Drosophila melanogaster: one gene and its partners. The protein of the gene in region 1 interacts with the protein of each later gene in a pairwise test. Each region holds a gene or a part of one and is shown on either strand. Other genes may lie near its edges. The genes, in order: foi, Epac, CG14589 and CG44837.

Region 1 (8,526 bases):
TTAAGTTGCAGCGTGGAGAGGATTATAACTACGATCAGAGTCGCTTCCCCCAGCTGGTGAGCAGGTCCGTGTATCCCAGGAGTGATGAAGTACATTAGTATACCATTTTTCAGACCCTTTGGCTGGAACGCATGAAACGAGATCCGGCTGTGATGGCCTTCTACATGGAGGCCGAGGTTCAGGCGGAGTTCCTGCGTACACGGAGCCTGGGTCGACCCAATTACAATCTGCTGGTCAAGGATGCCTGATGCACTTGGTTTATTGAATTTTTCGCATGGAATGAATAAAACATAAATGCAGTCCATAACCGGTTCCAAAGATTTGATCTTGTCTAAACCAGTTGTCGTTCTATGGTGTACCCTTGAAGGCAATGTCGTACTGGGGATTTCCAAGGGTCTTCGATTTCTGGAACTCAGCATGCAACTGGACATCCAAAGCTGTCTTCTGCACAACCTCATCCTGGGTCATCAAATCGCGCCACTTGAGCTGTAATGGATTTTTGATGAGATACATGCATCATCTTATGTTGGATTACTTAAACATACCAGCTTCTCAAATCGTTTTGTATCCAGCTCATACTTTTGCTCCGTATTGATCTTCATGCTGGGAAAACGTTCGAACCAAGGCCAAATCATGTAGTCCACGATTCCAATGTGCTGGCCGGCAAAGTAGGGCGTTCCTCTTTTGCCCAACTCCACTTCAAAAACATCCAAGGCATTCTCGAAGTTCGGTATGGCATCTTTCGGAGCGTTGGGATTACAAGTCAGCACAGGATAAATGGCACTGACCACTGGAGCAAAACGTTCGATTAGAATCTTGTCCAGCGCCTTCTGAAGCGGATCCGTGGGAAAGAGTCGCGTCTGGGGATATTGCTGGTCCAAGTACTCTGCTATGATGAGCGACTCCACGAGGGTCGGTTGGTCCTTCACCCCAGTAAGCTGCAGGGCTGGCACTTTGCCCAGAGGACTGAAATCCTTGTACCATTCAGGCTTCTCAATCAAATCGACGTAGATCTTATGATGTTCAATATGTTTGGCGGCCAGCATCAGACGAACTCGGTGGCTGAAGGGGCAGAATGCCATGGAAAAGAAACGAGGAACTCCATCTTCTGGCAGCTCGGGCTTGGTGGAACCTGTAAGATCAATGTAAGCTTGATTAATTGGCAGGAATAAAAGCACTGACCCAAATCCCAGTTGAAAAGGTAGAAATAACATTTGATGGTCTACTTTATATATGGGTTTAATATTTTTTTAAAAGCGGTTTCACAATGTTAGTTTAAGTATGTTGCTTCCTGTCATCCATTAATACATCCTTTACAAGGGCTGGAAGGCTACATCGTAGTCCGGTTTGTTCTCATGGCGGGTCTTCATGAACTTCGCATGGATTCGGGCATCCAAAGCGGTGGCCTTGACAGCCTCATCCTGAGCCACCAGATCCCTCCACTTCAACAAATTCTGATAGCGTGTCTTGTCCAACTCGTAGGGTTCATCCAGAGTGTACTTGAGGGCCGGGAATCGCTCGAACCAGGGCCAAATCATGTAGTCAGCAATGCCGATCTTGTTGCCTCCAAAGTATGGTGTTCCGCGCTTGGTGATCTCCTGCTCGAAGACATCCAGAGCGGTCTCAAAGTTCTTGATGGCATCAGCGGGTGGATTCTTGGTGAACAGCACGGGGTAAATGGCGCTGACAGCGGGCGACAGGCGTTCGATGAGAATCCTGTCTAGCGCCTTTTGCAATGGATCCTTGGGGAAAAGGGAGCCCTCGCCCGGATACTGTTCATCCAAGTACTCGGCAATGACCAGGGACTCCACCAAAGCCGGTTGTCCAGGCAGATTTGGCAACTGGATAGCCGGCACCTTGCCCAATGGACTGTAGTCGATGTACCACTCTGGTTTCTCGCTAAGATCAATGTAAACCGTGTGATGTGGAATCTTTTTGGCGGCCAAAACCAAACCGGCACGCTGCGAGTACGGGCAGAATCTCATCGAATAGTAACGCAGGACTCCATCCTCGGGGATCTCCGGTTTGGGCGAACCTGTTGAAGGGTGATTTGTGACGTCAGCAGAAAGTTTTCCATTATGCTTTGGCTAAAATTAAAGCTCTATCTCTGCGTAATTTACGCCTCTCAAAGTGGGGTCTAGATAAAACTATGAAATCAATTGCCAACTTTTGCAGCGTCACTATCCCGATGACCTTGAAGTGCCCCCAACTCACCCCTCTTGAAGTGCTTTTGCGGCAGGGCCATTTTGTTAACAATTTTAAAATAATTCCCAAGACGTGAAATGTTGGTGGCAAAGTAGTTCCGATCGACTGACAACAAATAGAGGGATTCCGGTACCTTATAAAGTGGTCGCAGTCGCCGGACGAGTGAATTTATCGAATATATTTCGATTGTTGAGCGGGTGAATTTAAAATTCTTAAGCTCATATTTAAGAAAATTGTTTGACCACATATTAAAGACTACAAACGACTACTCTAAGATAAGTATTTTCATATCCATTTATCATTCATACCTTCATTAATCTAATTCTAAAACAAACGTACTTACAACCCGTATAAACAATGAAAATGCAAAGATTTATTTTTCAATCACAATAATGCTGCCGTAGTAGGTACATGTGTTACATGTTATATGTGCAAAAGGTACAATGCTGAAGTGGAAACGCCATCATCCCGTAGACTACCCCAATTTGACACGTTTGGCCTCATTGCTAGAAACGAGAAATGGATCAGTCACACATTATATGTATAATCTTCAAATCTTACTATAGCATATTATAATCGGCCTGGCCCGATCGCCGGGAGTTCATGTATTTGGCATGGGTCTGTCCATCCAGATAGAAACACTTGACAGCACGATCCTGGATCATCAAGTCGCGCCACTTAATCTGCAGTAGAACAATCTCGGTAATTTAAAAGACATAATTAGAAAACCAATAGGACCCACCAAAGTGGGAAAACGTTCCGGACTCAATTCGAATTTTTGTTCAAAAGTGTATTTCAGAGAGTCAAAGCGCTCGCACCAGGGCCACATCATGTAGTCAAGCATGCCTGGGCTGTCGCCACCAAAGAACTTGGTACAACGTCGCTTCAGTTCCTCCTCATAAACGACCAATCCGGCATAGTGATCGGTGTCAACCAGCTGCTCGGGATTGTCGTGCAGCAACAGGTAGTAGAAGGCATTGATGAACTGTCCGAAACGTTCGATTAAAATCTTCTCCTGGGCTTTTTTAAGCAGATCCTTGGGATACAATGGCACCTCCGGATACTTTTCGTCCAAGTAGTCACAAATAATGAGCGACTCGATCAGCACAGGATTTCCCTGTTCCTTGACCAGCTCCAGTGCCGGCACCTTTGTGGAGCTGCTCACCAGGGAGAACCACTCGGGTTTGTCGCGAAGATTGATGTAGATAGCGTGGTAGGGAATCTTTTTGGCATCCAGGACCAGGTGCACACGGTGTGCATAGGGGCAAAAGCGCATCGAATACAGCTTTAAGATCCCATCATCCGGAAATACGGGCTTTGGCGAGCCTGCAATATATATGCGCCTTTTAAATGTGAATTTGGAACTTAGTAACTTATACTAACCAATAGTTAAGTGCTGAGTATTGCTCATATTGGCAATACAATTTTTTCTGGAAAGGAACACAACCTGTTTTGCGGGTTATGACAATTATCGATATTTGACAGTAAACGTTAAGGTGGCTCGATAACGTATTGTCTTTTTACAGGATTGATGTATTTTTAATCAATTATTATTTAATCGGTTTAAAAAAATCTATCTTAATCTTAAATATTAATTTTTACAACTTTAATTTTTTTAAATATAATTCAGTCATCTATTCATCTATTATTTAGGACTTTAATTTCAATAATTTATGGTTATATATCCATAATAGACTATTTGCATCACTGCTCCAAATACATATTGTATATACATAATTAATCTAAAATCAATTTATATTTATCGTTTTTAATATTTGCTGCAAGAGGTTACATTGATCGCCATCGATGTGTAGCGTTGATAGCAACGGAACACCGATACCTATCGCGGATGATTCGGTGTTTTTCCACATCCCTACCGCCTATCGATAATTGTTATAACAAAATTGTTTTAGTTGCGGATTTCTTGTGTTTGGCGGTGTGAGCGAAAGAGAGATGGCTGCTGCGGCATATGTTTAGCGTGTCCGGAAAATGTTTACAGTAAGCTCGCCCTTGCGTAACTGAGCCCGTGTTGGTGTTGGTGGCCGCATCCCGTACTCCGTATCCCGTGCAAATCTCGCCGCTCCATGCGGACTCGCTTCGATTCGATTTCCCGTGCCAAACCGAGATTATTGCAACGTAATTGACACTCGGCGTAATCTCTACGGCCTCTTTCATTCACGCCCACCGCATCGGCAAAAGCTATAGCTCCCAGAATCGTCCAGCATTATCTTCGATCCCGCAATAACTCTAGTGGGAATTGTGTGAGTGTGTGTTACAGTGTGCGATGTGCTAAACAGTCCGGCAAATTTACGGGTGAGTTAGTAGTGGGCTTGCATTAATTATTCGCCTTTGTTTAATCTTGGCATAAGTTCGTTCAGAATGGAAAGTGCATGCGACGCGCCCCCATTCCACCTCCCACCGCCCAAAATCCACCCACCACCACCCACTCGTATTTATTTATAGCGGGACATTTCCATGTGCGTGTGATTTTGACACCCGCTCACTTACATCCATATGTATTTGTTGTACACACACATACGCAGATGCACACGTAACTACACTGATATTCAGCACGTTTTTATGCTATTTTCGATCGACATCATCAATGTGTTCTATACATAATTCAGCGCAATTCTGATACCATTTCCATGCTCGCTATCTTCAGAGCCTAATTACGCAAAATCAATGGAATTAGTGTTATCAAACGGGCCAGAATGCTTATCATCCACTGGCGGGGCTAGATAAGATTTCAAGGGGGAAGACAACGTGGATGAGTCTTCACATCGCGTATGCTTTATCTCTAGCATTCTCTCTATTTAAATCAATAGACTTATCCAAACGATCATAGTTACAATTACAATCCACGTGTTCGACGTACACAGCTTACATTTTGCGTAAATAAATACTCTTATCACCTTACACATAACGTCATTAGATTTTATATTTGTATTGCGCATTGAGGGATATGAAATATTTAAGTTGTATTCCGGATGCGTAACCCCCTTTGGAAGCCGTCACTGTTATCGCCACTGACCCATATATCAACATGTGTTCCTTTCGCACTTTTGGCTGCCTTCCACATAGTTCTGTTGTTTTTGTCTTTTTTTTTTTAGAAGTGTAGGTGGTGCATGAATCATAGATAGTGGTGCCGGTGGTGGCCAAAAGGGAAGCATCCTTATCGGGCGCGAACTTTTCCATTTCTCCGCCAAACGCCCGCCGCCAATCAATTATTCATGAGCCAGCGTAATTTGCAAAAATTGATATGTATATTTGCAAATAAAAAAAAATGCAATATCAGCTATGAATGCCTTGCAACCAGGCGCCAACAACTGAGGCAGCCAACCATTTCAGCAACCAACAACTCAATACGGAAAACAAACGTTTCTCGGCGATCCACGATCATTTCGATGCCCCCAGATGAATTATTTATCGCATATGGCCAGCCCTTCAACATCAGTTATGTGTCACTTGGTGGGTCGTACTAGCTGAATACTAAACCGGCCAGCCAGCCAGCGTACATAGTATGTAATTCAGCAGACGGCGAGCATGGCAAGGTCAGAGCCTCGTTCCGTACGGATTTGATCCAATCGGATTGGATCCGTAGCTGTCCATTCGGATTCCGAGACCGAGTCCGAATCTGAATCCGACGTGATTGACCTCAGCTTAGTCTAGTTGTGTGTACTTGGCTTCTACCCATCCAGAACTTCAGTTCCATGTGGCCATCACATGACGCGAGGTTTTTCATATCTTCCTAAACACACTGCTGAAATTTCACATCAAGCTTTGGCTTATGAAAAGGTAGAAACCAAAAAACAAAAAAAAAAAAAGATAATGCCCAAATTTGTGTGTGTATGTATGTGCTTGGATTCTTGGGTACACCTTTTCGCAGGTTATTTCGCTGAAGTTTCAGGTATGAATTTCGTGTTTGTGTTGCGGCCAAGATAAAAGATAAATTGCTCAGCAGGTAGAGAGACGATCTGGAGATGTAGATGTACGGTGGAAATTTCAGGCTAAACAAACTGTAGATTGTGCATAGTAGTTGTTCATAAATCTTGCGAGGAGTTCTACGAGTACGTTTCTAGATTTAATTTCGCAGTTTAAGGTTGTGACATGTATAAAACGAGATATTATGCAGTGTCAGGGGCCTAAAAACGTGGAGATACCATGTATGTACATATCATGTGAAATTTACTCATCAAGTTTTATCTATTGAACTTTGAGCGATCGCGTGTTCAATTTTAGGCTTTTTGTGCGGATGTCATGCGAAATTTGATTGTGCGATCGAAGCATAAAATGTGGAATGGGTTCCAGGAATTTTGAGTATATGAAATTGAGATTTAATGTGAAATTTCATGATGTTGACTCATCGAAAAGTAATCAGAACGTTTTGGAATTTCACAATTTGCGAAATGAGACCCACCCTTATCCTGAAATTTCAGCATGGAGATCTTTTGCGATGCCAAACGAATTTATGTGGAGGTTCTATGTATATGAAATTCATTTATGCTGACTCAGCTGCATAAGCTTTCCGCATCTAAAAAGGGTTACTCTGCGGAAATTTAATCCGTATGGGACAGCACTATTCGTTGGAGATATCATGCGAAATTTTGGTGTACACATGGAATTCAGAGAGCAGCGAGTTCAGTGACTTGCCGACTATACAATTACCACGAGAATTCGGAAAAAACAGACGCGTGCGATTTTCGATATGGAGATGTTATGCGAACTAAAGTCGATTCAGCAAATCTAATCGTACGTTTTTGGTACAGTAGCCTCTCGATATGTACGATTTTAAAGTGCAATTTTAAACAATAAAAACAAAGCAGTTTTTCCTAAAGTTTATTTATTTATTTATATTGAAAAAATAGTAAGTAAATTTAATAGAAGTACTAATAGTACTTTCAGATTACATTTTTTTAAAATTCTCAGACCACCAGATTGCAATGGTAAAATAATTAAATTATTGAAGGCTGGCCAAAAAATTATTTTTTTTTTAAATTAATTAGTTTGAATGGAATAAAAATAATAATACGTTGATCTGCTAAAATATTGACGTTTTAATTAGATCTTAGTTCGAACCGCATTAAGTATTTTGGCTAAGAGCTCAAAATTAAGATGGAATCATTGAGTTCTAATTTTCGTTCTCGTCGACATTGGACATGGTACAGAATCAGCCACGCCCCGCCAAGTTAGCACGCCTTCGATGTGGGTATGCTTTAATGTGGTCCCCAGTCATATGCACATCGATATATAATACACAAATATACATATATACAGACATACATACGTACACACTCACTCAATTAGCCAGCAATGAAACTGGCTTATAAATCGAACCGCAAGCGACGCGCGCCGCTCAGTTGCAAAGCGTTTGCAAAGCTCACTGGTGGTGAGGATCGCAGATCGGTTGGGTTTAGTGTTTCTTTCCCTTAAATCATCTTTCAACTCGTTACGAAAAGCATTCAAGATATTTTAAAAAATATAAACATATATGTGGTGTGGAAGAAAGTGAAATGAATTGATGGGCCCCGAATAAAAATGCCCTATAGCATTGACGCCATCATAAAAACGAGATCGTAAAACATTTTCTCGCAGTGGTTCCATTCAAATCACGCGAACAGAATTTAAATGAGGCTTGATTTAAAAAGAAAAAATAATAATAAAAATAACACAGCACTAAATACAAATGAAACAGTCGGTCAATGGCGGCAGCACTTGACCAATTGACTGAGTTTGCTGGATTGATTGGGAATATTGCCGATGAATTGTGTTTGATCTGATTTGGAGAATTTGTATGCAAATCGGAGCTTCGTTGATTGATTTTTATTGCCCTGAAATTAAGTTTTTCGCAAATTTCCTTTGGCAGTTTGGCAGTTAATTTCCTCAACAAGTGCCAGAGTTTCAGCTGCAGCAGCAGCAGCAGCAGCCTCAACCTTTAACACTTAACCCCTTGCCAAGGCGACGTGTGTCCTTGTCAATGCCGCGGGTGCACGCCCACTTCCTGTGACCTTGACGCCATCATACCGCCATCATAACTTAATGCAACAACAATGACGTTTCTATTATTACCTATAGTGGTTTTGGCTTTCGCTTTTATTAAGTCGATAACCAGCGAGCCACCCATCCACCCACGTGTATCTGTATCTGTGCCTGTGTCGTAAATTTTCGCCAAAGTTTTATCAATAAATTGGATTTCAATGCAGGACCGTTGAACTAACTGCCATTAATGCGCAATTGTAAAATTGTCCGAGTCCCAACAAGTTGTTGTTGCAATCCCACTACAATAACAAACTAATTTTCGGTTTGTTAGACGGGTGAAGG
Region 2 (8,589 bases), on another chromosome or scaffold:
GAGCTCATTAAGCACACAGTCTGCCCGCTCCATACCCCAGTCCGCCCTTCCGCCCAAAATTGCGCTCCGTAAATCGCGCGGATAATCAAGTTTTTGGTTGAATGCAAATGACAGAGACTCCATCGCGTCTATTAACTTTTGATTTGCGCGTATTTGCCGGATGGCGGAGGGTATTGACAGGAAATCTCCTCGCCACTAATTCAGTATTTGTATGGGGTTTTCTGTGGAAACTAAGTTATTCAGCTAAATTCTGCTGACAAGCTGGAATCAGTGATTGGTTATTGCTTGAGCGTCTTTAAGGGCTTAACAATATAAAAGTACAGATCGATACCCTGCCTATCAGCACCGAATTAATTAGCTAAGAACACAATATATATATATATATATAAATATGTATATATATATATCAAATAAGTGCAGTGGATGTCCAATCATCTGATTCTCAAGAACATTAATCAATGCGTTTACATGAAAATCCCCGACAGGCAAACATCAATATTCGCACTGAACAGCTTGAGTTGCGCCCAAATGTGTGCTACACGTTGGTCGACTGGTGCACCGCCATGGTGGTTAGGGAATGTGGGGTGAATCTATCAGGAACCTGCGGAATATGCGAGTGCCTTATTAGCCAGTCAAAACATGAAGGCAGTGGCGCTGGCGTTCCTGATTGCACGTGCGCTGGCGTTACCTCATTTATCAGCTAATCAAATTACATGGCCATAATACGCAAACATTTGCATGAAGGGAGCCCAGGAACACAGGGCAGCTTTAATAGGCAATTTGCGTTAAACGCTGATTGAATAACCATTAATGCAACTAAAGAGCCAGTGTGCCACACATGCGATAATAATGACATCAGCAGGTGGGTGGGTAAGTGCAATCAGGTCGTAAACACGTTCCGACGGCACCAGTGACTGACTTTTGAAGCGACTGGCTGAGGATGGTGAGCCAAAGTCCTGGACAAGGACTTCGACAACAACGACTAGCTGACGACGAGTCGATCAATGTACAACAGCATTTTCTGCTAATGGGCCACAGGCAGGGTGGCAGGAAGCGCCATTAGACCAGGTGCCACATGCGTTGATGATGAAAAGAAAATGCATTAGGACCGGCCATGATGAGCCCGCACTTGGCCATGAAGGCCTTCAAAGCCAGCCGTGCCCACCAGCCGAGTTTATTAAGATCGCATTTATCATAATTACCGCCGGGTCGTTGTGTTGTGTCTGGTGGAGCAGGATTCAACGCCATGTGATGACATATTCAGCAGGCAAAGCGGCCGTTAAATTCTTGGAATTTCATTCCGCATTGGCAAGCCCGAAAAAATGTCTATGGTGGTCCTGTCAACATGGGGGAGGCTCATAAAAAATGCGACAGGCAGACCCCATGAAAAACCAAAAAAAAAAAAAAACCCTGCAACACAGGGAAAGTAGTCTTCCACTTTTATTACGTCAGTTCTATTTAGTGCTATACCGTTATTGTTAATTATGTCTAATTATATTAGTAGAAGTAATTCATCTTTGCACTTATCCTATGCTACACCCGTTTGTGTATAATGAAATACCTATCTAGGAATACCAGACTACGATCCACCTTAACTATTTTTCTTTCTGTGCATTAACAGCTGGGGGAAAAAGCCAAGAATTTATATGCGCTGGGGCAGCCTGTGGAGCTGGAACCGAAACTGGGAATGATTCATGCGGAAATAAAGGCACTCGAGAGTGCCGTAAATATTGTGGTGGCGACCACAACAACAGCGGCTCTGGGAAAGGTGGAAAACAAAAGGAAAGCTTTGCATTTTCGCACCTTTTCAGGAGCGAACACGACTGAATCGCCGTTGATTCATTAGCTGAATGTGACAAGCCGTCAGTGAATGTCCAAGTGTCCAAGTGACCAAAAGTCCGGGTGTTCACGCACTCGCTCCGTAAATTCTGTCCGTTGTTTCGTGTCCGCTGCTGGTGTGCATTATTTAATTGACATGTTGATTGTTTCGCATTGCGATTCCATTTTATGTGCACTTTCAGGCGAGGGTGTGAGGCAGTTCCGCCCGGGGCGCGGTGCGGGGTTGTCCGCTGTTCGCCCGACGGCCGAGCGGACGGACAAGTGCCTGTTGAAGAGCTGGTCAACTGCGACGACTCACCAAAATAACGCTCAACAGTTTGTTGTGGAGCACGTAGAATAGGAGAGCGAGCAGCAAATGTTGCTAAACATTCGAGTGAATAGAGTCAAAACAAATTGTTATTTCAAGTAGACTAGGCAAGCAATATTATTCGTAATACAACATATCAGATTCGATTAACTTTTCATCTTTAAAGCCCAATACACAATCTATATTTTTTTTTTTTTTATATTTATTTATTTAGAAGCGATGAATCCATACAATGCAGTAACAGTAACATAACAGCGCAATTAACATATAAAAGATAAAACCAAACCTCTCACTAATCATGTGAGGACTTAAGACAATCTATACTAATAAGCAATAAGCAAGTAAGTAAAACAAATAAATCAAACAAGAACATAAATTTATATGTTAAATGCTATATCATTATAGCCATCTTTATACAAATTGTATCTCTTTGCTGATTATCGTATATAAGTGTAGGCAGTAAATGAATAAGAATAATATTTAAATTAAATTAATATTAAGTTTAAAATCGTAAAAGAATAGTAGAAATCCATTCATATCACAAAATAATGGGATTCAAATTATAATAAATATTATAACAAAAGTAGTATAATTTCAAACACTATAAGCAAAGAAACTGTATTTAATTAGAACTACTTTGAAATTACGTTTTTTCGTGTGCCAAATTTTATTTGGATTTTGACCACACCGATTTGGATGTAAGCCCACTGTGCCGAAGATTTGTCAAACTTGTTGCTAAAAAACGCGCCAAAATATGTGAGTGACGGAAAGGGACGGCGGGAAGGCGGAACAAGGCCAAAAGTACCGCACCGCAGCCGTCAACACTGCAGTCATCGGCAATGAGTAACTTCCAACAACCCACCACGACCCCCAATCTCCGCCGGGAAACCCACCTGCGAGGCGCAGGACAGGAGCGTGGTGAAGAGCGCCGCTCGGAAGTCGGAAAATGGAAGGCGGCCGAGCAGTTGCGACGCGACTACCAAATGAATCGGACGCGATAGCGCTTCAGCGGAGGTCGAGAACTGAAATGTTTGCCCAAGAACTGTATATACCAAGTGCTTGAAAGCCGTTAGCAAGTGGTTCATTTAAATATTCGTTTGAAGTCGGTTCGATTTCAGGTATTCGCTGGATTTCGGTATGTCGCGTGGGTTCGAAACTAAAAGTTCATTTTCCGTGCCAAAAAGTGTTTGCCAACAAGAAGGACTTTAAAATATCGAATTCTGCTGCGGGATCTCTGTTACTCTTGCATCTTCTGATCCTTTTCTCCGTTCAGAGGATGCGTGAGTATTCGATTCATGATGTTTCTTCGCCACATGACCAAGCTAAATGGCTAAGTTTTCCGTTTGGCAACGGCTGCAGTGGGCAGTTAAATCACATCTATTGTGGTTCAAAGTTTTGCTTTCACTCGGTTGCTTAATTAAAACAAAGTTTGAAACCCTAAAGTGGAAATTACATGGAACATCTGTTTCCAGGGCGATTTCAAAGCTTGTTCAATTCAATTCCCTAACCGCCACTCCGGACACTAATTGCATTTGCTGGCAGGATGGACAACTCGTTCGAAAGTGGCCGCTTATCGAGTCGTCCACTCGGAATATCGCCAATATCAGTCTTATCGCCCCCGGGACTTTTGTCGCCATTTATGTACGTGGAGCCAGCCAGCGAGCGAACGACACGTCAGAAAACGTGGCATACATTCGGGCGCCTTCGCGGGCTGGCCACGATGGCGAATACTTAATTATTCATATGCGAGCTGATGGTCCTTCGCGATGTCTTTCCTTTTGAGCCGTCACTCGAACACTTGTTCCGCCTGCAGTTCCATTTCGCTGACGAAAGCCACTGCACTTCTGATGGGGTGGTATAAATTATGTTTTTTCCCATTGACGCAGAACAAAATACGCATTCGTTTGCGGTACAGATACAGATAGTGCAGCGCATGGGTAAACATGGAGTTCGGTAACGAATTCGCGGTTAGATCGTGCCTTCGCATGCCATACGATCTGGATTTGGGCATACTGGGAAATTAGAATGCCCATTGACAGCGCATTAAGTATACGCCGTGTGTGTGGAGTAATCTATTGTTATCTGGAAATCTATTGTTAGATTTGTGCGCCAACAGTTTGTTGGTGCTCCGCCCTCACCGCTCTCCTGCACCACAACACCCCCTCGCCGGCCGAGCAGGCATCAAAGCTTATTCATAACATTTGCTTTTGTTGGCGACACAGATACCCACAAGCACACACAAGCACACACACACTGACGCAGTGGGGCCTTCTGGGCAGCTATCAGCAGTTGGGAAAACCCTTTTTGGCAAGTCCAACAATAGCAATTCACATTAGTTATGTGGCTGAAAAAATCGGAAAGAGGGAAACTTTTACATCTGCTGCTGGCATTTTATATAAATTATATTAGAGTCCGACATCCCAAGGCTAGCTTACACTTACGACTGCTGTATAGTGAATTTAGACTCACATTCGCCCAATTTAACTTTGCAGCTGCTCGGTATCGAAATCCTCGTCGCCAGCCAAACGGGAGCTCAAACTGAAATCCATTTCCAAACTTTCGCCTAATCAACGAGCTACGTCCACTTACCCCTGGCTCCAACTCGAAAGGAGCTCGCTCCAACGCTCCCAAAAGCGGATTTCGAGTGCCTCGCTGGGCCGAGCCACCTGGCATGTCGTATTCAAAGGGAATCGCAGATTGACGGCCACATCGCGGATTGAGGTGACTGCAAACTGGGTGCGAGCGCCGCCATTACTCGGTATTTTGATTTCGCTTTCCTGGGCCGCAACGGGCAATTAATTTGCACCACTTTGGAGCCGCTCCGCCTCGATTTATGTGCTCTGCTCAAAGTTGGGGCAACTATTTGGTTTGGTGTTTGTGGAATGTGCTGTTCATAACTTGTATCATAACTTGTGTCAAACGGCGAAACTAATCGAGCGAGGGAGATTTAAATAAAAATTCAACATGGCGATGGAATGGATAACTGCAATGGACAAACGGTAAGTGATTTTTTAATGAGCTGCACAATTAATGAGCAGCGATTTTGGGGAACTTTTCTTTAAATTCTAAGTTTTTAGCTCCAAAAGTTTCCTTAGCTGAAACGGAATGCTTTCTCTTAAATTTAAGGCATTTCCCAGCTGAGTGCACAAGTTTCTTTCCTCTGTTTTCCCGGAGCAGACACGTACTCACACATCGACGTACGTGTAAGTTGAATGAAAAGCTCGACGTGGAGTACAAACAAAACGAGAACGAGAAGCGAAACATTTTAAAATGTTGCCGTCATGCTCGACATTCATTTGTCAAGAACCAACATCGGGGTGCCCCATCCTCCTCCATCCTTGATGGCTGGCAAATGGCCAATCCATCCACTTTGTGGACACGGCCTGCCACGAATTATCCGCTTTATTAAATCTCGATATCAATTCTCCGTAACTCAATGAGCCGCCTTCTGCACAGCAATTATTTCATCATTCCTGATTTGGACACCGAACAAAGGAAAATAAAAACAGGACTTTAATCATGACATTCATATCTTTCTTGTGAATTGAAATGCAAAATAAATGTAATTGTAGTTCGCTATAAATAAACCAACCCATTTAATGATACTACTCTTAAAATACAATTTATATTATGATAAAGCATTAAAGTAATTTACCATTCATTTCATGAGCTATGCCTGAAAAGTGTTTTCTGTCGTGCAAAAATAATAATTAAACCGCTGTAAAAGTATAAAAATACTATAATTTAATTGAAAATATATATATTTCTGCTGAAAGCTCCGCATTTCAGAGGTTTTAATGCACATACATTTTTTACGTAAATATGTGCTTTGCAATTGGATGGAGTTTAGTCTTGTGCAAACATTATTTTAGTGGAATAAAACAGAGGCACGGGACTATTGTTTTTTTTTTTTAGTTGATGTCAGACTTTATACTTTCCATTTAAGAGAGCGGTTTCATTTTATCTGGACACCACAGTATTTATCTTTTCACAGCCAACATAATAACATTACCCTTATCTAAATTAATGAAAAAGCTCATATGTGAGATGGAGTATCTCTCCTGATGACATGCTATTTCTAAAGCATTTACTATTGCAACAGTCAACAGAATAGTCAGCATTCTAAAGCATTTACTATTGCATCAATCAACAGAATAGTCAGCATTTAGCGTGTAAAATATTTATATACAATTACGGAATAACCAAATTTATTTTAGTGTGTGCGCAGTACTTAAGCTTAAGTTGAACTTGATTCGAGCTAATCAAACATTGACCAGAGATCAAAATTGTTTTTCAAAGTGTCTAAATCGATTTGCCCAACCGTAAATGGCCGGGAATCGAGCACACATTCTTCCCAGCAACCACTTGATGCAATTTGTTGGATTTCAGCTGGGGCATCGCTGGACGAGTGCCACCATTACCATTACCATTATTAGCCCCGCCTGTCCCCACCGACTGCTCAGTTGTGCGGCACACTCTATTATTGCAGAGTGGCCTTATATTTCATTGGTGTTATCCGAATGGGGCGTGCCTCCGCCTCATACCGGCCCGCCCCTAACCGCCGCGCACACACACCATCAATCAGAGGACAATCTCTTCAAATTTCACGCTCTGTCAACGCTTAAACGCTTCTGCCGCACTCGCACTAAAGCATGAGGGGTCAGGGGTCAGCGGGCACTCATGTGACTGTGCGCGGCAGCGGGAAAAAAGAAAGGTCAAGTGGCAAGGGCTTAAAGCAAACTGTTTGCCTTGTGCCTGGGCAAACATTTGCAGACCGCTGCCTTTTGTTTGCCCCGCCCAAAGAGAAAGGGCCTAGTAGCGCAAGGGTGCCAGGATGCCAGGGTGCAGTATGCAGATCCAGATTTCTTTCACAGCTCTTCGGCTGCTCCTTCTTATGGACCTAATACAAATGGCCTCGTACTAAAGTAGGGAGCGAAGACAAAATAAACGATTTAATTTGGACAGAATTAATGGCACAGCCAAGAAGGGCACGTCATGCTGACTGGTAATTCGGCTTATCAAGAGCGATCTGGGCTTAAGCGCACCTGGAGATAAAGGACGAGGGAGCACTCGGTGCATGCCATCGGAGAATCCTTGGAAGGAGGCAAGGTAATCGCAGAACGTAAGGCGTGAAGTGGCAAAGCCAGCAGACAGCAATTGATATTGATGGCTTCCCCTTCCCGGCGGAGGAACAATCGTCTTACTTACAAGTGCCGCCGCACATTTATCATACGCCACGTGTGCCAAAGCAGCTTTAATGTGTGCGAGGAGGCCACCCTTCCCCGCAGCTTTAAGGCTGACGAATCGCCGGCACGCCAATTACAAAATTCCGAAACTAAACTTTCGGGCGTGTGCCTAAAAACCGCAAAAACCATTATAATAAACAACGAGCTGGCTGCCTAGGATGTGTCCCAACGCGCTTCCGGCTCTTTGGATCACTCCCTTCGTCCTTCGCCTTTCGCCCACCAACAGCCACCTGGCTGTTTGGTTAACGACAAACCCAGAAACGGTTAGTGGCCCCCCTTCTCGGCACTCGGTTCCCGAAATTGCCGCTTCTACTGGCGAATGAATTATGCATGAGCCCGGCAAGACAGTTCACCTTCAGGAGCCGGATGAAAGTTGTTCGCAGGCTGCGCCAAAAAAGTAGACGCCTCGCTGCAAAAGTAGCCCTCGATGCAGATGATGCCCGGCCAGGGGCAAGCTTGGGATCTATTCCTGACTGCAAGCTGCCTTTGTCTGCCCAGGTCAGCCCTTCCTGCGGACGCACCCGCTCCGTCTGAGTTTTATGGAATTTTTAATTAGGCGAAAGTTGGGTGGGGTCTCCAGTGTGGGCGGCATTGGGGGATTTATGGTGGGCGGGAGCTCGCCTGAAAATTGTTTAAAACTTTTGGTAACATGCCGCATGGCAGCAAGGCGCAATTTGTTGTCTGTTAGACATGTAAAAACATTATTTATAGCGCGATTTGTATTGTTTTCCTAGGGGGAAAAACTTTATTTTTTTTTTAAAGCAAGGTGATTTAATTTTTATTATTTAAAATTAACTTACTTGCACTTCCTGAATTTGAGAACTCCTTATTAGATCTGACAGCTAACTTTTTCTCAAATGCAATTAGTTGACGCTTCACTCTCATTGCTTCGCCATTTCCCTGCCCTTCTTCTCATTATTCTGGGCGGACTTCCGTTTCCTGCAGATTCTTGCCCGGAAACTCTTATACTTATTTATTCATTTTTCAATTGACTTGCACACAGACAGGCAAAAAATATAATTTGCATACTTAATGCGCGCACAAACCGAGCACAAATGACACTGGAATTTTTAATTTGAGTTCATTGTTGAACTAATACTTTGCTTTGCCATTTCTCCTCATTTTTATTCAGTTTATGGCCTTCCAAAAGTAGATCCAAAAATAGAATAATCCACGTGAAGTGCTTTTCATAGAGTC
Region 3 (6,899 bases), on another chromosome or scaffold:
GTTGGGGTAGTTCGCCGGCAAATAAATGAAATAGAAGAGAGCCGAATGCCATGTAGTGGAAACTTGCTTGAGTAGACGATACCGTTCGCAGGAAGAAGAAGAGGTATGACGTTGAATTCCTTGAAAAAAACTGAGTTGTTGGCATTGTTGATAAGCAAATACTACGATAAATTAATGAAAATCAATTTACATATGTAAGTCTTGCCTACCTGAAATGAGCGATGTGATTTAGATGGACAAAACGACAATTAAGAAACTTAGCTTACTTCAAGCTATAATCAATTCATCGCACTGACGCTTTAGTCTGGAATCCGATTTCATTGATGCAATATATCTCACAATCCAATTCGATTTAATTGGCCCTTCGTCTTCGGAACTAGTTCATTCTTATTCGTTTTAGCCCTTGGAATAATAGAATTGAAACCGAAACAGTTGTTGCAGTGCACAGATAGATTACACATAATGTATCTGAGCATCACTCTCCAGCTATTTAGTCTACGTGTGTGTATCTATGTGCATTTAGCGAGCGAGATAGCTGGCTAGAAAACAGAAAAAAAAGGAGAAAAACTTGTCTACATGCCTGTCGCTCAAGCTGCAAAATTTATGCGAAGACACACAAATCCACTGAACGACCGACCGACAACGCTGCCGATGGTTGTTGCTGTTGCTGCTGCTGCTGCTGCTGCCGTCGGTGCCTGGTGTTTTTGTTTTTATACCCATAGACAGACTGCACCAATCTGCTTCACAACCCATGCCCCCGCTCACCAGCAGCACGAACGTTTTAAATGCGAAAAACGCCGACACAGACACAGAGAGAAAAATATCTTACATTCACGTAAGTAAGAAAAACTTTGCACACCAATACTTCAAATATACAAAAATATTATTTCTCATTTAGTTTCAGTTTCTTGGGTTTAGTTCATGATGTTGTATGATTTTGTTAGATTTTTTTGCTAATCTGGTTTGCCTTGTGTGACGGCTTGGTTTGCTTCGCTTCGGATCAGAGCTGTTCGGTTTGTCTTTTGGTGTGATTTTGACTTCGAATCGGGTGCCACAAGAAGCAGAAGCAGAAGCAGAGGGCGGGCGTTGAAAGGAGGCAAAGTCAGGTTTAATGTCGTTCAATGGCGCGGCGACGTTTTGCAGTTGAGGTAGTCGGAGTCGCGAGACAAAGACTGGGGGCAGTCGGCAATGGGAGGGCGTGGAACGGGCAGAAAAAGTGGGCTTAGGCCGTTCGTGGGCAAAGAGGAATAAAAGACTCGACGTTGGGCAAATAGGCAAAGATTGGCGGTTGTTTACCGATAAGCGCCCATGAATGGGTGACGGCAGCAGTCGGCAGACCAAAGGAGAGCAAGTGCCATAGTTATCCAGGCGGACTGTATGTACCGATTTTGCATTATACATAAGTATGTACATGGCCATGCCGCATGGTTGGTGAAAACGTCATATACAGACACAGTGGACCGAGTTGGGCAAGTGTAAGAAGAATTACATGGGTTTGAATATGTTGCCTTGTCTAGTTCTGAATTTTCTCAAAGAAATAACACTAATCTAATCTTGTATGTTATATACAAGATAATTTAGATTCTTTAAGAAATCTGTAAAAGGTAATTTGAGTTTTTTCTGACACTATAAATTTTATGGTGTGTTGTTAAGCAGGATCAGTGGCCGTATCCATCTACCCCTAACAGTAAAAAAAGGCAAATAGGATTTAAAGGCCGAGATCGCTTTGGACTAGGATTCGGTCATTATCCATATTCAGACCAGCCTAGAATTGGCCCTGATGGACTTGGAGTAAAGAAAATAAATCCTTATTCTTTGTCTGTGCAAACGTGCGCGCATAACATACATAAATACGAGAGCTAATTAAACGTCTGCATACCGACATTTGATAGATTGTCGACGAAAATAAAAGTTGAATAAAACATATATGTAATTTTTTGATATTTTCCTAGGTAAAACAAATTATTGGGGGCTTTAGAGGCACAATGATATTTTTTATTTCCCTGTGCAAATATTCCAATTTTTCTTGTTTTTATGTTGGCTCGCATGACATTATTTGATTAAAAGTGACAATTGTAAGCCTTGTTGGTATTGGAGTAATACCAACCGAGCTCCTAATGCTTTTGTACACTATGTATGTAGATGTTGGCATCCTGGGTGTCAACAATTCTGATCATAATGCTCACTGGCAGCTAGTCCCTCAGATTGCATACTAAGCAGAAAACCAGCGTGCGTACATAATTGGCGTGCCCTTGTCGCGCCAGTTATCGATAACTATTTCCTGCACAGTTAAACTGGAACGCAGTACGGCCAAAACAAAAAACTCATCAGTATTCAGGAGGCTGGGGGAACTGAGCTCTTGTTGTTAGCGCAAGTGCCAACTCATTGGCTTAGCTGTAAGCGTTGGGTGCTGTAATTGCAGCACGCGCTGCTGCTTTTCCCGGGGGCTAGGAACTGATGCTCCAGTAAGCACCTGACAACGTTGGCTGGTAAAAAGCTTCTGGCTACAGAAATAGCGATGCACTTGCCACAACGCAGTCTGTGTCGTCCGTATTTGGGGTCGCCCCAAGCTCCCACCCACCCAGTCCTACCCCTTAGGCCTTCCAACGAACACTAAGGCACATTTGTTATAATTATTTTTAAAGTGCACATATTTAATCAAGTGTGGATTGGGCTGCTATGCAGTAGCACTATGTATGCATGTCAAACAACTAATTAGAGCCCATTTCTTTCCTTTAAGGAATTCTTAATTCAACAGAAACAATGGTTTCGAGTTTAAGGCAAATCAAATTTTAAATAATATAAACGATACTTTAAGAATGAATATTTAAATATTTTTTGAAATTCCAATAGAAATTGGCAAATAATAAATTCAAATTAAATCGAAGTATTCAACTTTCTGAGCGTAACAATTTTTTGCAGATTTTGGGAGTGGTAATCAACTCGGCTGGTAATCTGCTTTGATCAAGAATGTATGTACAAAGGATAAAGTTAAGGATCGCTACCTTCTGTATATATACTAAGCGACAGTAAACCAAGTGTGCAGTTACTCAAGGAAAATTTTGTAGGAGATTCTGTAAATAAAATCCCTGTGAAAAACCCACCAAAGTTCAATGCACGAATCTTGACGCAGTTGCTGCGGTTCATTATTATATTGGTGTTTTGGCTAATTAAGTCATAAAATGGGAAACCCCAGACACGCACACAAACAAACACAAAATCAACGAAAAATTAATTTAAAAAAAGTATTAGATATTAGAAACACCTCTACTAACACTAGTCATATTGTAAACAGTCCAAATAGTTAGCCGCTACTAAAATCGAATAAAATCAAATTAAATTTTCAAAGTATACATACCACGTTCAAAAAGTATCCTAAGTGAATTAAATTTTATTAAATGAATACGCTCTTTGAACTATTCAATTCCGAACTCAGCAAAGTTACGTTGTTCATGAGAACATTAATTACTGTCGGTTATTAACTTTTAAACGTTTAGTAGTAGGCTTCGAGAGCCCTTTCATGGGTAGAGTTTAGTTTGTTTATCCTTAAATGTATTTCCACCACCGTAATCTCAAGCAAACACAACAAAAACACGAGAATTTCAAGTACGGAAAGCAACACATTAGAAGGACCAATGTGGAACGTATCCTCGATCCTGGAAGGGCTAGAGCATGAGCAAGGAGTAAACGCGGACCTCCGCGGCAAGAACGTGTTCAACTTGTGCGTGACCTTCTTGTGGATATTTCTGTGCATCTACGTCCTGTCCAAGCTAACCCAACTCGTGGAGCTCTTTCTGTGCCAGCGGCTACTTGGCCAGAAGCAATGGTACGACGTCCGCACGATCAAAAACGAGTGGGAGCAGACCCTCCAGCTTTATGAGGACGATAAAAGCCAGCTGGACGCACAGGTGCGCGAGTTGCGAGAAAAGAACCTGAGTATGGAGCGCTTGATGGTGGACCTGCGAGACTACAACATCCACTTGATCAGCGAAAACTATATGCTGTCCGTGATGCACGAACAGGTTAACAAAACAAACACAAAACAACCAACATATTTGAGAATCTATTGATCTTAAAATCGCGCGCAATATTATTTTCCATTCAAAGACACTGTTACACTGCTAGCCATGTTATGTAAAGATCTAATTGACCTCGAGACATGTAAAGTGTATTAACAATTCATTGTTCTTTGCTCAGAAACCAAGGCCGGCCGAGCCGAACATCTACATCACCAACAGCCACTTCCATCTCACTCGCCAGATGTTTCTGAACGATAGTCAAATCAATCTGAACGTCCATGACCATGGCGAGAAAGGAGCTTCCGGGGAGGGCAAAAATGTCTGGCTGCAGTATCTAAGGATGCGCAAGTGCTATATGAGCCCGATTGCCGATCCGAATTCGATAGATCCCAGCAGCACCACCAAGCAGATTCTCCCAATTGTTATGAGCACCGAGCAGTTGGCCGAATTGCAAGGTGAGTAAAGTAACAATTTGTGAGATGTTAATAATCGTTGTCTTTTTCTTAGGCATGATCTAGTTAGTTTTAAGTTATATGCAAACATAAATCTCGATTGTTGTATTGATCGCAAAGAAAAAAGCTCAAACAAATATATTTAAATTAATTGCTCTACTTTTCCATTGTTTTTAAACGGAAATAGCGCAAACCTCGGTCAAAACATTTGTCACTATCCTTGCAGTTAAGATAATTATGTTATTCTCACATGTTTGTTTTTCGATTTGAAACGTAGAATCTGTAGAATGATTACTGTTTGTAGCCTTTAAGCTGGAAATAAAAATTAGCTTAGTAATGTTATTTATTTCAATTCGATTCATATTCCAAATTCAATTTTAGCTCAGTGCTTTGGACCACAGATAATCGGTTTTATTTGCCTAACTACCTACCACCTACCGCCTCCCAATTTCCTAAACGCACCGCCCTCTCCTCCCTTCGATGGCCTTCGCGACAACATCTGGCGGAAACGAAACGAAAACAAAATGCAAAATATAGCTGTCTACCAGTCGGTCGTCTGTTTGTTCCAACTGCGACTGCTAAGACGATGACTTATCAAGGCAGAATTTAGCGATTGGTTCTTTAGCTTTCTTCTTCGTTCCCCCACTGTGCCAGAACTCTCCATTTTATTTTCTTTGCCATGGGGTCACTGGCAGTTATCGTTGCAATTTTGTAATCAGTTGCCGGCTCAAGGTTAAATGCTCGCCGGCACTATGGGCGAAGTCTGTGGGTGCAGGTCCTAGTCGGCCTCATACCCTTGCATTTTTTCATTCCCCGTGTGTCATTTCCGGTTTCGGCATTCATTTGGTCATATTTGGACGCAGATTCGCCATATTTGATTTACATTTGATCGAGAACCGGCGCTCTCGATGTTGTTTTGCGACTACTTACTGGGTCATTTGCCTGTCTGGCTCATGTAGTCTGTACATACATATGTACATACAAATTTGCAGTGGAACTGGAATCGGATTTATTTCGTTGTTCATTTGCGATTGTCACTTGGTTGAGTTAGATTTATTGCCATTTAAATGCAAGTTTATTGTATTTTCTGGATCAGTATTGTGCGTTGAATTGGGTCTTTCCTCCCTCAGTCTGCACTCGCATTTTCCGTTTTTACTGTCTTATTTGACAATGATGACGCTGATGAGGCCTAAATTGATTAGCGGCGAGTGATGTACATATAAAGAACATAACCGATGAAGTCATTGAACTAATTCAAATATTTGCCTTCGCCGATACACATTATATATCTGGTTTGACTTAAAAAAAAAAAAAATCCCAAAAAAAAAACACTTTTCGACCCGAGACAGGCTTAATAAAAAAAAAAAATAGAACGAAAGCTTTTCTCATATCTTGCGAAATATCAAAGTTAAAAATTCTTTGTATGAGTAGCATCTTTTTTTAGTATTTTAAATGTATACATGACTTATTTTCGGTCGCTTTAACGATTATGGACTTAGTTATATGAAGCTTTGAAACAGTAATAGTTTATTACGTTCTTCAATCTAGAGAATGTTGCAACAATTCATTTACAATTGGTATTGTAAAAAATTATATTTTATAATACTTATTGATAAAAAAAAATTACAAAAGAGCCGACTGGGATAAAAGTTTATTTCAGTGCCCGGTGTACTAAATGATTACTAAAAAGTTTCCATTAAAAACGATGATATTTTATACTCCATTATTCGTTGCTATAAAAATAACACAATATATTTAAGATAACACAATAATGGTAAGCAATGTAAATTTTCTGTTTGGGACGACTTTTGTTGTTCATCCTTAACCCATTTGTTGGTCGGGGTCACGTAACAACCAGCGTCATTGGAGCACCCGCATCTTGTAATTCTGGCCGACTCTCCGTATACAATTTTATTGTTATGCACTAGCCATCAAGTCGAGTCAAATTGTCTGGCTGCACCCATAAATACTTGGTCCAACATCTATGACGCATTGCCAGGTGGATAATTCTATGGCCAGGGCATAGTGTCGCACAATAGGGGAGTCCTAAGATGGCTAGTTGCTTATTTTAGTTTGGTATTTATAGATCTCGCAATGTGCGTCGCACGCTAAAGAAGACTATCGGATGGCATTTGCAGAATCAATTTGTTTACCACTTGGTCGATGAATTAGAATCTTCCAAATACAAATTATTTCGCACATTACGGGGTGGAGCGGAGAGTGTGAGAAATAATCTAATCGTTAATTGGCACACTAACCCCAAACAGAAATTGTGCTGCCATTGGCCCCATTTCACACTCACTGATAAAAATAGTTTACGTTTTATCAAGGTTATTTGCCAAAAAAAAAAATAACAAAAACAACAACAAACAAAAGCGAAAACGAAAGTGGAAAGCAAAAAGACCAGTGCGAGGGTGTGCGAATAGAT
Region 4 (8,425 bases), 3.4 Mb from region 1:
TCGGGCGGCAGTTGCGATCGCTACGGCAGATCCCTATCTTCACGCAGTGTCGCACCCACTCGCACCACACCGTACAGTCGACCCAGGGTCGTTTCCGGATCCGGATCAAATGGCAGTGCCGGCAATGCCTCGTCCACATCGCCGCAGCCGCCGTCGGCTCCACAAACGCCCACCAGCCTGCACTCCACGTCCACTGGCTCCGTGAGCACCAGTGTGAGCAGCTCGAGCGGCGGCGGCATCGGATCTGCGCCGAGTACTGGTTGCTTCAGCAGTTCCTACGCCCAATCCGGCTTCATGTCGGTCGATGCCAGTCCCACGGCGTCCGTGTTCTCCTATCCCAGCAGCTGGCAGAGCAATGGCAATTACTGGAACGCCACCAGCGTGCCGGGACCCATGCCCATGAACGTGTGCAGTGGCCGCAACATCTGTAAGTACTTCATGGAGGGCAGGAGGAAATGCTTCTGCTTATATCTTTGCAAAAATACCCGAAAGGCTAACCAAAGATACAATACGTTTGCTAACAAGCTACGTGACCTTTGAACTTTCGAAACGGAAATTTAATTAAAAAGTACCTAGTGTTGCTCTTAAGTTTTCGCGTATCAAAAGTTTTGAGCTCCTTGCTTTTGAAATAATTTAAGAATCGTGACAGTTTTCAATGCACTTAGCAATTTACCATTAAAGTAAAATATATACTTAAATATTATTAAGTAAGCAGAGTAATTTTTTTTGTAAAAAGTTCAACTTTGGACAATGGTATCACCTTTTTGACAGTTTCTAGTTTGCTGCACACATTATAATGACTATTTACAATCATGATATGGAAGATAGGTGACTGATAAATTTAATTTTATAGCATCTCATAACTCTCCGTCGCCGACGAATGGATCCCCGAGCTATACGACCTCCTCGCCCAGCTACACCATTCATCACCTGACGCCACACAGTCATCAGTACAACATGGCCCAAACGGATATCTATGGAACCGGAGTGGGCGTTGGGGGCGGGGCAGGAACAACGGGATCCCCGCAAGCGGCATACGGTGCAGCTGCCCACCAGGTGTACCATCCCACGCCCACCTCACCCACTCACCAGCTGTACACGAATGCGGTTCTCAATGCGCCCTCGGCGCTAAGCTATTCCGCCAGTGGTTGGCACAATGGATCCGGGGCGGAGTACGGACTGTACCAGAACGCTGCCGCCGCGTATTACCAGCCGGAATACATTCCCCTGGAGATCGGGTAGGTTGAATCGGTGGGGAACTGTGCGCACTTACCGCTAACGTAGCTATCAATGATTTCCCACCAACCGCCTTCCAGCTATGCCACTCATCCGTTGGAGCCCGTTGATGTTTCAAAGACACTGGACGACCCCCAGGCTGCCATGTACAAGCCGAGCGATGAGCAGGGCTCGGTCATAACGCTGGAGTGCGCCAGTTCCTCCCTGAAGAGCTCTCACGACATCAAGATAGAGTCCTCATCCCTGGAGCACGCCGGGGAACGGGGCACTGTTGGCGGTGGAGCTGCCGTGGTCTCGGTGCCAACCGCCGTGGTGAATGGAGCTCCGGCCGTAGCTGCCGACACCTGGACCCCGCTCACTCCGCCACAGAGCACGCTGCAGTGATCGGATCATCCCACGGATAAACCCACAGCCTTTAGACGCATGACCCCCCTGGATGTTCGATCGAGTTAGAAATAAACGCCCTATGTTAGTAACGCTATTAGTAAAGCACACCCAATCGCAATCGCACCTATTGTAGAACTATCTGTACGCTGTAAACAATCTCCTATAAAGTCGTAATCAAACTATGCAAATGGCTAGAATTCATTTTTTCAGGTCCTAACTATCAGGCAATCATTTCATCATACAATGGTATCATCTACATCATCATCTACATACAATGGTATTTAAAAGTTCTTTAGAGTGCATTATTAACCGAGAAAATATTTCCTAGTTGAAGACTCCTGTCATGCTTTAAGTTTCCCAGGCCGTTTGTTCCTGAGTATTGCACAATAAAAGTCTCACACCCCTTAGGGCCACATAGAGTGTGCAATTGCATCCTTGTGGTAAAACAAAAGATAAAGTCTTGAGTTTTCGAGGGGTCAGCCAACAGACTCCAACTCTATTTGAAATGGCAGCTATTAAACCTAAAATCGTCTTAACAATTACAGACAATAACGATGTGAGGGTGCGAGAAACCCAACTGTGAGCTTAATCCCGGCAAGAACAGGCATCCAGCTCATTGTCGGATTCAAAGGGGTATTCAATTTAGTTTAAAAGTTGAACCCATCCCATGCGGGCCACTCGCAGCCAGACAATGGAGCACTTGGCAATGGCAGAGTCAGTGCCCCAGGGCGATCTCCAGGCGGCAATCTGCCAGGACCAATCCAGCCGTGAACCCGGAATGTCCACAAAAGGCCTCGCTGATAATGAGTTTGGGAAATGCCTGTGTATTGGAATCTCCGCCAGAGTGCATTAAAAGCTGGATAGAAAGTGGAGGCCCTCTGAATGTGCCGCCATTCACCTGAATTGCCGGACACCCGCACTGCAGATATAGTTGCTGCAATTAAAATTACACGGCGCCATCACTTGTAAAAGGGCTGTGCACGGCGGGAATTTGACGCGGTTTTGGATTAAATGGGCAAACAGGAAACAATTAGCATTCCACTTAATTGCAAAATATCTAAAATTTCAATAACTAAAGCCATTTGCCTTCCTATACTGATGGTATAACAATAGACCGACATTAATAGACAATATAAGCTTCGAAAGTTACAATTTGTTAATCATATGTTTCTTATTCAACCGAAATTGTTTTCAGTTTTTATTTGTATTAATCTCTTTTGAACGTAGTTTTCACTCACCTGATAGTCCATTGAGTTGCCATAGCCCATGTGGTTGCAGGAGCAGGAACAGTGCTTGATATGCTGCTCCAGCTCGTCATCGATGACGGTGGTGCTGGTTGTTAGGTGTCCAAGTGCCTCGTGATGGAAGTGGGCATGCTCGAGATCCCAGTGATCCCTCTGGCGAAAGCGAATGTCCTTTCCCTGCTGCTCCAACAGCTCTACAGGATTTGCAGCTTGATGTGGCTGCGGGGATAGATGCTGTTGCGCTTCCCCGGGCCAATCGAATGAGCAGGACTTGAACACACGTCTGCCACCCGTTCCGCCCACCGCTGTGGATTGTGTTTCCCTGGCGGGACTGTTCTGTGGACTGGGGCTAATGGCATTAACTTTGCTGTTATCGCTCTCTTGGGCTGTTAAGCTGCCGACTCGCAGGAGAGCGCCGCGCTCGAAGCTTTTGGCCGCCTGGTGGAAAGCTCCGTACGCAACAGTTTCGTCCTCCTCAACATCGCTGGCATTCTGGTAGCGACGCATTGGCGGGGCGCCACCAGTTGCTCCGGCCACGTTACCGTTACCAATGGCCGCCGCCGTTGGCGTCACAGTTACCGCCGAGCTGGCCGCACTGAGCATGAGGCGGAGTATTTCATTGGTGTCCTTCGACGGCAGCGGCACACTGCAGGAGCCCGTTTCCGCCTCGGAGATTTCCTGTGTTTCCGAGTTCAGCTCATCCGAACCGTTGGGCTCCTCGACTTCGATCTGTTGGTTTTGGCGTGCACGTTGGCCCACTATCGAGGCGGCCGTGGAATTGGCTCCGTACTTCCAGTACGTTTTTCCAGTGCCAGCGATCCTCTGCAGATGACTTCCAGCCGCCTGACGTTTTCGCTCCTGCAGCTGTTGGAGATTTTTAAAGACTTTTCGCACCGGTTGCGTGTGATGCAAGGTGGCACATCTTCTCATGGGCGGCGGCGTATATACCGGGGAAACACTGTAGCTGTGCGAGTGCCGACCGGGCGAAAGTGAGCCACTCGACTTCGCGCCCACTAAGCGGGCTTTCAGTTTACGGCCAAAGCCCAGGCCACTTCCGCCTGCCGTTGCGCTTCCGGTTCGCGAGGTGAGTGAGTGGGCGGACAAGGAGAGGGCGCGACTGAATCGCAGAGCCGCTGATCTCTGCTGCTTGACGGCCATCAGCTGGCACTCGTCGATCGTCGGCAGCTTTAGCAGGTGAGGATGCAGCTGGGCATAAGTTAGTGAAGGCTTCGCACTGGGCACATCCGGTGAGGGATTCGGCAGCGGATCGAAGAGGTTTCTCTGGCTGAGGGCCAGGAACTCGCGCTGCTCCTCCTCCTCCAGCGCCTTCAAAGCACGCAGGTCCCACTCGCCAGAAGACATGGTTCCCTTTAGTCACTCATGGATTGTTAATTCTTTTTCACGAATTTTAGTTGATATTTGAGTAATGACACGCAAATCATCTTTATTTATGTTTCAGTATTAGCACTTATTCTGGTCTATTTACTTTTAATTTGCATATTTATGAAAATAAACACATTTTTGGTGGCCTAAGTATTCAAGTATTCAAGGATATAACATTATAAAGGAGGTACAACTTATATGTACATATAATATATTGAAAGCAAGTAAAATAATGTAAGCTAAGTAATAAATATAATATACAAAAAATAACGTTTCTATTATGTAAGTGAAAGTAAATGATAAGATAGTAGATATAATAATCGGATTCCAAACGCTACCTATTTTTACTCTTTCACTAACAATGTTATGTTTGTTATGCTTTTCCAATATCACGGCGTAAACTAAAACAAATAAATTATAACACGTCAATCCCGCCAATATTCCGTCACATTTTCCGTTGGATAAAACCGCTAACGCTACCCGGTTCAATTCAATTACCGTTGCCACGCGGCGCTGCCAACACACTGGGCTCTTCAGTGCTGCGGTACCGTTACTTTATAACGGCACTGCTAACAGCAGCAGCAACAGTTTCCGCAAGGAGTACCCCCCAGTGGATGGATGCTGTGGATCGTAAGTGACCTGGCCCAACAAAAAAGTATGGCAGTGGGTCGCCATGTTAACAGTATGTAATGTAAAGTCCATGTTAATGCAAAGATATTTTATTGTAATACTTATTTGAAAAAAAGTAACTATAAAATATAAAACAAATATCCATTGGAATCATGTAACAATAAAAAGAATTTAACCTCCAAAGTAGCGTTTTTTTGTTTTAATGCTATGCCTTAACAGACCTTAAAACATTTTTACCAAACAGGGCTTTTCTTATTGAACTCAATAGCATACATTCTTCTTGGTAATCAAAGTTACGCTTGCTCCTGGCCACAAAGCCAAAGTCTATTGTTTTATGATGGTGTTATCCCAACTTGGGGCAAAGAGTTGGCCCAAAGGTGATACCGCAGGTGACGGGGCGGCAATGAAATATGCAAGTGCATTCATTTGGCATCCAAAGCAATTTCGCAGTCAGCAGGACGACGACACATAGCCATTTTTGTTAACCTCATCTCAAAATGTTCACCGACCCCCAAGCCAGCACTCAGAAAAATATAGTGTGATATCTAATATTATGTTTTTAAATTCAATATAAATTATTTAAAAAATCAATGTGCGAATAGCTAGAAAACATGATATATTTTAGTTGTACAGATGAAACGGCCCACGCATTAAAATTTTTTTTGTAGTGTGACCATTTCTTGTAACTTAACATTACAATGCACGGCCACATTTCTGCACACCTGTACCTGGGTACATATGTAAGTACTTGCTCATGGCACACACATACTCTGAAGTGCTCATCCTTCATCCTGATGTATGGCCATCAAGCATCGGATGGGCTGAGTGTCGGAACACGGAGGGGAAGTAAGTATGTGCACCGCTGAATCCCCCGAATCGTGTTAATGAAATTCAAGCTGGGTCAAAAATTTGCATTAGCACATCCGGCATCCATATGCAAATCATATTTCAGATACGAGGACTCACATGATTAACAAAAAGCGGATCGATGGGACGTTCGTAAAAACAAAAATATATATGTAACTTTGTGGATATATATCCATTGCTCCATTAAGTGACTTATTTTAATCTTAGTATGCAGGCAAAGGAATAATTAATTATTATATAATTATATTAATTGCCGTTCTCTTATAATAAATTAAATTTTTTCTATGGCACAACAATTATTTGTTAATAATTACAGGAAATATCTACTAAATAGACGTTTAAATTGGTTTTATTTAAACCTTTCACGTAAATGTGAAGGCGTTGTGGTAATTAAAAATATTTAAATATTAAGAAAAAAACAGAAAAATGTGGTTTCCTATTGTCTTGTAAAGCCAACAAATAATTATTTTGAAACATTGGCTTACTGCAAATTCCCGTGGGAATTTTGCTGTCTAAACAATTTAAAAAGGATTCTTCTTTATTTAAAGCTTAATAACTTGGAAAGAGAACCAAAAGTTGGCCCGTGAAGGGCTCAACAATGTCGGAGTCAAGCCATAATTTTTCGTGAACATGTTGGCCAGCCACGCCCATGTCCTCGACGGCAAATCCCTGCCACAGAGGATGTCAGAAGTCAAGATCGAAAACAAGTGAAAGTTGCAACAAGCCATTCTGTTTGAGGTCTGCGTTTAATTTTTTTTATGGGGACACTGTAGCCAGTGAGTCGAATTCGAACAGGACCTCTTTCCTTGACCAAATAACGAACTTTGGCTGGAAGGTCGGGAACATCTGCGCCACAAGTTGCGAGCCCAACCAAGCCACCGAACTTTATTGAATAGAAATTCGGTTTCGTTTCCAGAAACTTCATATTTCTGTACGTTATTGTTCCTTCCCCCGCATGAGATACTTTTGCTGTCTGGCGGCGATTTGGTTTCCAAATGTTAACCCTACCCTGTCTTCTCAACTTATCCAGAAAAGGGTGAAGCCAAGCACCACGAAGCCACAAACTTAAATAAGTAATTTTGGGATACAATTTTTTTTTTGTAATTTTCTAAACACAAAGTAATTATTTTTAAATACAAGAAATGGTTCAAAAGGAATGAAAAAGTGTTTCAGTTTCAAAGACCCACAGCCAGAGGCAAAATACTTGGCACCAATTGGCGCTGCAAGGCGTGTTCAAATTCATTAGACATTTGCAAACTGCATATTTGTCATGTGTCCCAAATGCGGGGCATTTCGACCCGTGGATGCAGTTGTCCCAGTGGATATCTGGATATTTTGGTCGTGGTAACCAAACCACTCGAACCAGCTGGACCCGCAACACGGAGTGCTACAAAATGGCCTGATTTATGGCCCCGGATGCCGTGCTGACATTTGGTTCCCGGCCAGCACCTTCCGACGCATTCGATGGCATTCACGTGCCAGCGGACTACTAAAGTCGAAATCACTGGCTCTGTACAATTGTCGATTTCTGTTTAAGTTTGTGGACACAAAATGCAGCTCTTAATATCCTTGTAATAGGTGACTTTAGGCCAAGACTATAAACAAGAATAATACCATCTTAAACTAAACTTGTAAAAGTCTTAAAATCCATAAATATAAATATAAAATGCCAAAATTAAAAAATATTTCAATCTTTTTTAACGCTCCTTACTTTATAATTTGTTTTTCTCATTTCAGAATTTTTTCTGCACAAAGTGGCGCCATCTTCTTTGAGCGAAAGCTTTCAAAGCTTTCAACCTTTGGATAAATGGCTTTGATTGTAAAACAATGAAATAGTTTTAAAAACAAATTTAAGTAATTCGTCATCTTACCTTATTTTTTGTAATATAGTTATACAAATATGTATTACAATATGTCTTAAAATTTAATATCGAAATCTTGGCGAATATTTACTGGCGTTTTATAGGTATCTACATTGTTGTAAGCATCAGTTGCTCGCAATAAATATATTTTACTTAATATATTATTTTAGTCATTAAATAATTTTTCTGTTGTTTTAAATTAATATTTCTCTCTCACGTTCCACTGTACTGTTAATAGAACTTTTAGAGCGATGTTCGTTGTCGTTTTCTTATGAACCGGTTCATCGAAGTGCTCCATCGTTCAAATTGACAGACGTCAAAATCTTCACGTGTGCACAATTTTAAAGTCACTCGGTGTAGTTAGGAAGAAATAAAATTCGAGAATGTCTGCTCCACTTGCAAATCCCCCAACAGACGACGAGCGTGTGAGGGCGCTGACCAATTACCGTACCAAGCTTCTGGAGCACCGCGAGATCGAATCCAAATTGAAAGCTTTGCGAGACAAGTACAAGGTCGTGAATGCCGAGTACGAAAAGTCCGAGGACGATCTGAAGGCTCTCCAGAGTGTGGGTCAGATGGTCGGGGAAATCCTGAAGCAGCTCACACCGGACAACTTCATCGTGAAGGCCTCGAACGGACCGCGCTACGTGGTCGGATGTCGCCGGCAGATTAACAAGGAGAAGCTAAAGCCCGGCACACGTGTCGCCCTGGATGTGACCACTCTCACCATCATGCGCTATTTGCCGCGGGAAGTGGATCCCCTGGTGTACAACATGACCCATGAAGATCCCGGAAACGTAAACTACGCTGAAATCG

What was found.
Region 2: the proteins of foi (region 1) and Epac interact in a two-hybrid assay, tested with the Drosophila melanogaster proteins (one large-scale study listed by BioGRID).
Region 3: the proteins of foi (region 1) and CG14589 interact in a two-hybrid assay, tested with the Drosophila melanogaster proteins (one large-scale study listed by BioGRID).
Region 4: the proteins of foi (region 1) and CG44837 interact in a two-hybrid assay, tested with the Drosophila melanogaster proteins (one large-scale study listed by BioGRID).

Annotation. Positions count from the first base shown.
Region 1 is NT_037436.4:8,521,187-8,529,712, forward strand, and holds the start of foi (fear-of-intimacy), read left to right. Parts: upstream 1-4,057; 5' UTR 4,058-4,518; intron 4,519-7,525; exon of another isoform or gene 7,526-7,594; intron 7,595-8,526. Other genes in the region: se (sepia), read left to right, coding at 1-56, 114-248; GstO2 (glutathione S transferase O2), read right to left, coding at 349-486, 546-1,132, 2,215-2,245; GstO1 (glutathione S transferase O1), read right to left, coding at 2,681-2,711, 2,767-2,888, 2,948-3,531, 3,589-3,616. UniProt on the Drosophila melanogaster protein: Required for the normal migration of longitudinal and peripheral glial cells. During larval development, required for the migration of the subretinal glia into the eye disk.
Region 2 is NT_033778.4:6,793,462-6,802,050, reverse strand, and holds the start of Epac (exchange protein directly activated by cAMP), read left to right. Parts: upstream 1-3,109; 5' UTR 3,110-3,281; intron 3,282-4,638; 5' UTR 4,639-5,110; coding exon 5,111-5,145; intron 5,146-8,589.
Region 3 is NT_033778.4:6,133,792-6,140,690, forward strand, and holds CG14589 (uncharacterized protein), read left to right. Parts: upstream 1-3,511; 5' UTR 3,512-3,635; coding exon 3,636-4,022; intron 4,023-4,197; coding exon 4,198-4,469; coding exon of another isoform or gene 4,470-4,474; intron 4,475-4,526; coding exon 4,527-4,617; 3' UTR 4,618-4,620; downstream 4,621-6,899.
Region 4 is NT_037436.4:11,934,112-11,942,536, forward strand, and holds the start of CG44837 (uncharacterized protein), read right to left. Parts: upstream 4,762-8,425; 5' UTR 4,589-4,761; intron 4,397-4,588; 5' UTR 4,230-4,396; coding exon 2,862-4,229; intron 1,809-2,861; exon of another isoform or gene 1,621-1,808; coding exon of another isoform or gene 1,317-1,620; exon of another isoform or gene 1,295-1,316; coding exon of another isoform or gene 1,285-1,294; intron 1,239-1,284; coding exon of another isoform or gene 854-1,238; intron 428-853; coding exon of another isoform or gene 1-427. Other genes in the region: byn (brachyenteron), read left to right, coding at 1-427, 854-1,238, 1,317-1,620; Rpt4R (regulatory particle triple-A ATPase 4-related), read left to right, coding at 7,993-8,425.